2 linked regions of the Macaca mulatta genome follow. The protein of the gene in region 1 interacts with the protein of each later gene in a biochemical or structural test. Links are inferred from orthologs where the notes say so. Each region holds a gene or a part of one and is shown on either strand. Other genes may lie near its edges.

Region 1 (3,627 bases):
AGAGCTCTTGGCTGATTTTTGTTTGTATTTTTTGTAGAAATGGGGTCTCACCATGTTGCCCAGGTCGGTCTCAAACTTCTGGGTTCAAGCAGTCCTCCCACCTTGGCCTCCCAATGTGCTGGGATTACAGGTGTGAGCCACTGCACCCAGCCTTTAATACATAATTTTTAAAGTTTATATTTTTTGTGCAACATGGCCCTGAGTACAGACCAGTTTCTCATCTGGCAAAAAGCAACAGCTGTAGAAACAGAGATCACAGATCATGCTTCAGTATGGCCAGACTATGAGAGGCAGCCTTCCTAAGAGGTTGTCCCAGCTGCTTGTGACCATACAATGTCTCTCTCTTGAAATCTGATTCTACTTAACTGTAGCCACTTCAGTGCAGTACTGTCATTGATTGATCTACTTTATCTTTCTAACTCATCTTAGTATAAAGAGAAATATATCAGAAAATAATTTTCTCACGTGTGTTTACATGATTAAAAGGAAACAGACTAAGACATTTGTAATGAAAGGAAGTGTTCTTCGAAGCTCCCAGTTGATGTGAGGTCTGTGTTAGGTAATGCCCAGGTCTGCTGGCTGGCAGCGTCCTTCTCTGTGCTTGGATGTTAGGCATGCTTCATAGCCTTTTGGAATATAAATGGAAGAAACTGTATTGAAAGCAGAGGATGGGACCAGTAAAGGCATTTTATGTGGAGTGTAAGTGTGAATAAAAGTGCAAATGTGAGTGGCATGAAAGGCTCCTGCTGGCGTGCGTGGTTGGGTTGTGTGGCAGGATAAGGTCAGTTTGGAAGCGCTGTTGGGGCTAGGGAGTGGGAGCCCTGAGTAGCATAATAAGGAGCTGGTGCCTCAGTGTGGGGAGGTGGTCGGGAGCTGCTGTGGGCTTTTAGGTAGGTGACTGGAATGACGGAGCCCACTGCGCTGTGCAGTGGGGCTGGAGCTGGGGGAGACTGGCCGCTGAGAGGTAGAGCACGTAATGGGGGCATGAGACAGGCCTGGTGCAGCTGGATTCTCGGGGTGCAGAGAGGCACCCATGTACACCAACTAGGGGAGGTTCTCCTGTGATAGAGACAGGCCATGAGTGTACAGGTATCTTCATCCCTGGAGATGTTTCCAGCAGCCACTCTGCTCTGCCTGCTCCTACCGTGGCACTGTGGAGTCTGGTTCCATGATGATGGTGCTTTTGTTTTCCTAAGAGATGAGGCCACTTTCTTGCTGTGGGGAAAACGCAGGGAGGCGCCTGTTGCCTGGGCTGGGTGGGAGGCAGGAGCAGGTCTCTGGAAGGAGGGGAGTCTGTTTTCTCCCCCGTCCTCACTGCTGCTGATGGTGGAGCTGGTCTCCCTGGGAGAATGTGGCAGTCACTTAGCTTTGTTGAAAGCTTTCTGTCTCCTTGTTGGGAAAATAATGAGGTTGGATTAAATTCCTGGTTTTCAAACTTACTTTGTTGTTGTTTTTAAGCAGCAAAATCCCCTTTTTAAGTGACATGTTTATGGGCATACTAGTTTACAAAATAAGTTGGGAACCCTCCTGATTGGCCCTGGGTGGGAGAGGCGAAGAGACTAGAACCTTATGCAGCCGCCTTGTGCTCCTGCAGCAATGGCAGGCAACTCTGAGAAACAGGGTTGAGAACCAAGAGGTTAGATGACCTTTGTCCCTTGGGCATTCTGTGGGTTCTGAATGGAATGACAGGCCTCAGAAGGCCCTGGAGTCCTTGCTCCCCAAGCTGTGGTGGGTGGGTCATCAACCATGGCATTGCCCAGGAGCCCCCTGACTCCACATCACATTTGAATTTGAGTCCCTGGGCGATTCATCAAAGGCTGGAAGGCCTTCCCACCACATGCAGAAAGCTCTTCTGCCCAGTTGCTAGAAGAGAATCCATGCACCTCACGCCTGCGACCTCTGCAGTGGGAGCGCGCTGGGCTGGGCGAGTGGCCCATCCTGATGCCGGATGGCAGGGCTCATGAGGCACCTCCTTCCTGCCCCACAGGCGTCTCACTTCCACTGCCTGCCCTCAGAAGCAGCACTTCCACCACCCCTCTGCCTCTGTGGCACCTCTGCCATTTGGCTGGGTGAAAAGAGGTAGACAGAGGTCCTGCTGTGCTTTGCTTTGGTTTTTTGGCTTTGCCTGGAAACCCCGAGAATCCTGCAGAGTGTAGACTGAGATGCTGTGAAATCTCAGTCCCTAACTTGGGATGGGACTTTGCTGTTTTCCTAAAGGAATTGGCCCAAATAAGGAAGGAGGAAAAAGAGAAGAAAAGACGCCGCCTCGAGAACATCAGGTCTCTGAAAGGGATGGGCTACTCCACGCACGCAGCCCAGCAGGCGCTCCACGCAGCCAGCGGGAACCTGGACGAGGCCCTGAAGGTAGCCGCTCCCTCGGGGCCTCTGGCCTTGTCCTTGAGCAGTGGGTCCTGCCCAGAGCTCCCTCCATGGCTCTCGGGCGTCCTCCCAGGCTCACTCCTATGGGCTGGCCCGTCATCAGATCTGAAGGGCAGCTTTTTCCTGGGCTCCAGCCCCAACAGAGGCCATGTGAGGCCCCATGAGGCCCCATGCTCAGTGCCTGGCCCAGGCCTGGCTCCAGAACACGGTGCCTGTCCACACCAGCGGAGTCCACAGGCCAGGACTTGATGTAGGGTTTGTGTGTGCAGCAGAGTGTAGTGTAAACAGGCCGTTTCCACAGCAGAAAAAGAGAATGGTAATTCAACTTGCAGTATAATTGTTTGGCATTAAAATTTTAACTAAGTATCTAGTTTTATTTATTTAGTCCATAGTACATGTTGGCAAAGGGGAAGCTTCTCAAAGAACCCCTCAGGAGTGACAGCAGGTTGGGATCCAGACAGCAGTGACTTTACCTGGGCCGCTTCCTTCCCTGTGTTGGAGAAGCAGATGGAATCCTCAGTAGGGCAGGTGCTGTGCTGCGTCTCGGCAGCTTGGTATGGAAGCGCCCTCTGCCCTCAGCCCCACAGCTCAGTGAGAGACAAACTCAGAGCACGCGTGGTAGGGAGTCCCCAGGGGTGCACGGGAGGCAGGGGGCTGGCTGCGTGGAGGCAGCAGTCCAGGCAGATGCTGGGGCAGCATGGCAGGCAGGAGCTAGCTTAGGTTGTGTGCATGCTGGGGGCGGGGCTGGGGGCAAGATGGGGGTGGAGGCAGGTGGAGGGCAGGGCAGGTGTACTCGTTTGCCCTGCTGAGGTGGGTGTGGGTGCAGCAGGCACGGGGGTCCACCCTGCCTTTGTCTCTTATCCCTGCCCTGTTCCCTGGAAGGCTCCACAAGTCAGTACTTCTGTTATGATGTATATGTATATTTAATGTATACGTTAAATTTTAAAATTGTATTTGAATATCTACTTTGATTTTTTTGTGTTGGAGAAATATGAAGAGGTGGGAAATTCTGAACATCCGAAGGGACTGATGGGTCTCGAAGTAGATTGGAATTATAGGAGTAGCACATAAATACCTCCAGTCAACACAGAAGTATTGAGTGTTGGAAAGGAAAGTCTCCACAGACTCTTTTAAGATTAAGTATTGTGTGACGAAGAAACCAAGGGTCAAAATAACTCTACTACCTGCCTGATATTTTAAGTCTAGAGGACATGACACTTTCAAAGATCAATCAGGCAGCCCTGAGCT
Region 2 (4,383 bases), on another chromosome or scaffold:
AGAATCTCCAAATCCCACTGGACAACGGATGAGGGGCAGCCCTTATCTGCTGTGTAGCAGCCAAAGGTCAGAACATTAGTTTCTAGACACAAAGGGGTCACAGGGACCTGGAGAAAGATCTGAAAGGAGAATAGCAGAGGCCAGTGGTTCCTAATGTATTCCATTAGGCACTCTTCTGCTTTTTAATTATCCTGCCTGTGTATTAAAAATTATGTCTACTCCACAAAATACATTTAAATAATAATTAATGTTTTCAATTTTATTAGCTATCTAATAAAAGCTTCATATAGAAGAACATGATTTATAGTAAGCTTTTGAAGTAGAGAAATGAGCTGTTGCATTTTATTACTCTACATCAATCCAGTACTTCTGTAAATTCGATTCTCCAGGACAGAACCTCCTAGAATAAGATGGGGTCATTTGCGATCTGTCAGTGAGTGAAGGTACAGTAAATGCCTCTGCAAACAGAGAAGATAACTTGGCATTTTAAAGAGCTTCCTACTTTGAAAAGATTTGAAGCACTTGAAAACATACTTTTAGGCTGGACACGTTGTCCCACATCTGTAATCCCAGCACTTTGGGAGGCCAAGGCGGGCAGGTTGCCTGAGATCAGGAGTTCGAGACCAGCTTGGACAGCATGGTGAAACCATGTCTCTACTAAAAATACAAAAATTAGCAGGTGCCTATTATCCCAGCTACTCGGGAAGCTGAGGCAGGAGAATCACTTGAAGTCTGGAGGCGGAGCTTGCAGTGAGCTGAGATCGCACCATTGCACTCCAGCCTGGGCAACAAAGTGAGACTCCATTTCAAAAAAAAAAAAAGCTTTTAAAAACTGGTTCCATAGCAATGCCCTGAGAGTTTGGGAGGGGGCAGTAGTTAATTTGGGATACGAGGAGGATCAGAGTGATGGAGTAAACTTCCCCGGGACAGGCACACCTTTCTTGTCTCCATCTAAGTCTCAAGGGTGAGGGAGAGAGAGCGGCACCTTTAGGTTTGTCTGAGATCACAGTGGTGAGGTGCATCCAGGAGTAAAGGTAGAGAAATAGAGGCCCCGCAGTGTGAGAGTGGATGTTGATTGCTTTGTGTGTTGAAGTGAGGAGTCAGCATTTAATTGTTGGCTTAGGATTGTTCTCAAGTAGTGGATTTGGTTTGCAGGTTCTGGGACAGGGTAGGACGTATGTTGGAGAGCTCAAGACCCAGAAATCCAATGTTATTTTGCAAAGGGAATTTTACAAGCAAAGTTTTCTGAGCCTGGAAGACACTTAGGAATCTTTTCCAGTCATCTCATTTTATAGACTGGGAAACCAACATCTAAGGAGATGAATGGATTTGCCCAAGGTAATGTAGCAAGTGGCCCTCCTGGGACTCTAACTCGTATCTCCTCTCAGTCTGAGGTTATTTCTCCTATGTCTTCTTAAGGCATGTTTTACACCTTCTGCCAGACTAGTCATGTCAGGCTCACAGTCACAGCACTCCACACAATGCTGACTGCCGTATCCTGCCTGGGTGCTCTCGTTCTTAGGACGGCCCCTGAGTAATGGGGTGCTCTTAAAGGCAGCATGAGAGGTTCAGCAAGCATTACAGGTCTTCACGCCAGTGAGGGCCCAGGCCACAGGACGGACAGTAATAAGTCAGAACTGGGAGAGGAGGAGTGGATTTTTAATCAGGGAAAAGTTTTCAACACAGAAAGACCATCCCTTTTGGAATGAGGATTGCAAATAGATTGCCTGAGGGGAGAAGTACGTAATCAGAAAGCATTCTTTGTTTATTAACTCCTGCCCAGCAAAAGTGAAAGAAAATTCATGGGAGCATGCAAGAACAAAGGGCACAGCAAAGCTGGACAAACACAGCAATCCAGGAGGGGATTTCCAATTCAACGCTGGTATATAAGCTGGAGTTAAAATCCTTTTTCTGTCTCTGGTTTCTGGCCCCTTGACTGCAAAGATGGCTCCCAATGCTTCCTGCCTCTCTGTAAGTTGGGATTTGATAAAGGGGATGGGGAAAGGAAAAGCACTTTCAAGAGTTGGGGAGAGATCTTAGAAACGGGGGATGGACAGTACTCAGGGCTCTGGGTGGCTGGGCAGGCATCCTTAAGGGGAAGAGGCTGGCATTGACATTTGCAGAATGGGAAGAGGGATTGTCTGAAGAGAAGCTGGTTATCTGGCTTCTGTGTTCTTTTTTTAATCAAACATTGGACTAGCTACTCTTAGGGATAAATGGTAGAAAAAAAAAGTGGGGGTGAGCTTTGTGTTCCACAGGGCTGGTGAGATTTGAAATTATGGAAACATTTTTTAGGGTTCTTAAACTTAATCTTCTCTTTCCTCTCAAAGGAGAGCTTCACAAAACTCATTTATCTGAAGTTGTTAATGATCTAACACATTACATTATATAAGAAAGTATGCACTATGGAGAGAACCTGGAATTAAGGCAATGCTTAACACAGATCCTCCAGTGAAGAAATGTCTGCAATATCTAGATTGGGAAAATATTTCTGAATGGAGTATGAGGGAGGTCTTCTCAGGCTTTCAAGTGGCCATTAGGAGTGAGTTTTCCAGTCTTTTAGGGTTTTCCAGCTATTGAAGTAAGACTTAGACATAGTCCCTACCTTCTGTGAGTGAGGCCTTGGTCTAATCAAAGGAGATCGTATTCTATATTAGATAGATATAAAAATACAAGAAATATAAATTAACAAGAAACATTGAACGTAGTGTCACTGTAATATGTAAGTTATTATTGTAAAGCAGTGGGAGATTAGAAAAAAAAATAACAGTTCAGTGATTATGTGCCCTACCCAGGATTTCCTTCTGAAGTATTGACAGAGGGTATCCTATTGCTGTATCTTATGAGGCTGTCATATTTTAGAAATTCTCTTTGACAGTTGTTTTTAGAGTCTGGTGTACATCTTTTGAAGCTCTGTATTTACTTTTTTGACATTTGACAAACTTTATCTGGATAGGAGAGGCAGGTAAATAAGGTGGAAAACCTTTAATTACATCTCGAGATGAATAAAGGTATGTTTTTTACATCTATTGAAATGCACAGAAAAGCGAAATAAAAAATTGTCAACTAAAAAAAATCACACAATTTATAAATTTAGAAAGGAGACTTCATTTCTTATGAAGGGTTATAGTCTGCAAGGTAGCCATTCTAACAAGCTGAGAAGCTCGGCTTCTGGTTGAAAACCAAAAGCAAGCTTTGTAGGAGGAAAGTGACACAGGAATTTATGCTGAAGGGGTTTGCTAAGTATACATATCCAATAGGTTATGGCAGAGGCAATGAATATTCATGAAGGGAGTCCTAATGCATGCATGTTGAATAAGCTTGCATGTTATATACCACCCATGGTCACTCTGAGGTGGAGACTTAACATTTAATTGCATTACAGTTAGGCCTTATACATGAAAAGGCGAAGCAGGGACACAAAGGCATTCAAATGTGCAGCTTCTGTAGACTAGCCAGAACCAGTCCATGGTCAGTGGTCTCTTATCAGGAGAAAATTACTGAAATCAGTCATTTGTCCAATTAAAACTGTAGTTATGGCTTGAGGAACAGGGGGTCAGTTAGCCTATGGATGAACTGTAATTGTTTTAATATTGTTCCTCTCGAGGCCAGTGCTTGTTTAGCTGCTACAGAAAAAAGAAAAATACTTTGTGGCAGTTAGAACATAGTTTATTCTTTAAGTGTAGGGATGCATGACTTAACTCTTGCCTATTATAGCCTTAGGTCTTGTTTAAAATTTGCTACAAAAATCTTATTGCCACCAATAATCCATTCTTTCAGTCTTATAATCTCTAACGTTGCTAGTCAGTTGTGTCTAAACTGCAAAAGGGAGAAGATATAATGAGGCATGTCCAGCCTCCTGTTTCATCATGACTGAGGTATTTTATTTATTTATCTTTTTGAGACAGAGTCTCACTCTGTTGCCCCAGCTGGAGTGCAGTGGTGCCATCTCCACTTACTGCAACCTCTGCCTTCTGGGTTCAAATGATTCTCATGCCTCAGCCTCCCGAGTAGCTGGGATTACAGGGACTCACCACCACGCCTGGTTAATTTTTGTATTTTTAGTAGAGATGAGGTTTCACCAAGTTGGCCAGGCTGGTCTCGAACTCCCAGCCTCAAGTGATCAGCTTGCCTCAGCTTCCCAAAGTTCTTGGATTACAGGTATAAGCCACTGCCCTTGGCCCAATGACTAAGTTCTTAAAATTTCTCTAGGGTCCCTCTGAGCAAGAGAGGGTCCGTTCAATTGGTTGGGGGCTCAGGATTTTATTTTTCATTCTCAAGATTGAAAAAAAGGTGTGATTATAAAGGAATGGGACAAATTTTCTTATTTGTGTTGCAACTTGGTAATTCCAAAGGAGAAGTTCCAAGAAAGAGAGGGACACT

The links.
Region 2: the proteins of NUB1 (region 1) and UBD form a complex in vitro, tested with the Homo sapiens proteins (6 studies listed by BioGRID, with this or other methods). The link is inferred for Macaca mulatta from reciprocal best matches to the Homo sapiens genes NUB1 and UBD.

Annotation. Positions count from the first base shown.
Region 1 is NC_133408.1:190,801,100-190,804,726, forward strand, and holds part of NUB1 (NEDD8 ultimate buster 1), read left to right. Parts: intron 1-2,217; coding exon 2,218-2,364; intron 2,365-2,732; exon of another isoform or gene 2,733-3,627. UniProt on the Homo sapiens protein: Specific down-regulator of the NEDD8 conjugation system. Recruits NEDD8, UBD, and their conjugates to the proteasome for degradation. Isoform 1 promotes the degradation of NEDD8 more efficiently than isoform 2.
Region 2 is NC_133409.1:153,782,179-153,786,561, forward strand, and holds the start of UBD (ubiquitin D), read left to right. Parts: upstream 1-1,578; 5' UTR 1,579-1,944; coding exon 1,945-1,971; intron 1,972-4,383. UniProt on the Homo sapiens protein: Ubiquitin-like protein modifier which can be covalently attached to target proteins and subsequently leads to their degradation by the 26S proteasome, in a NUB1-dependent manner.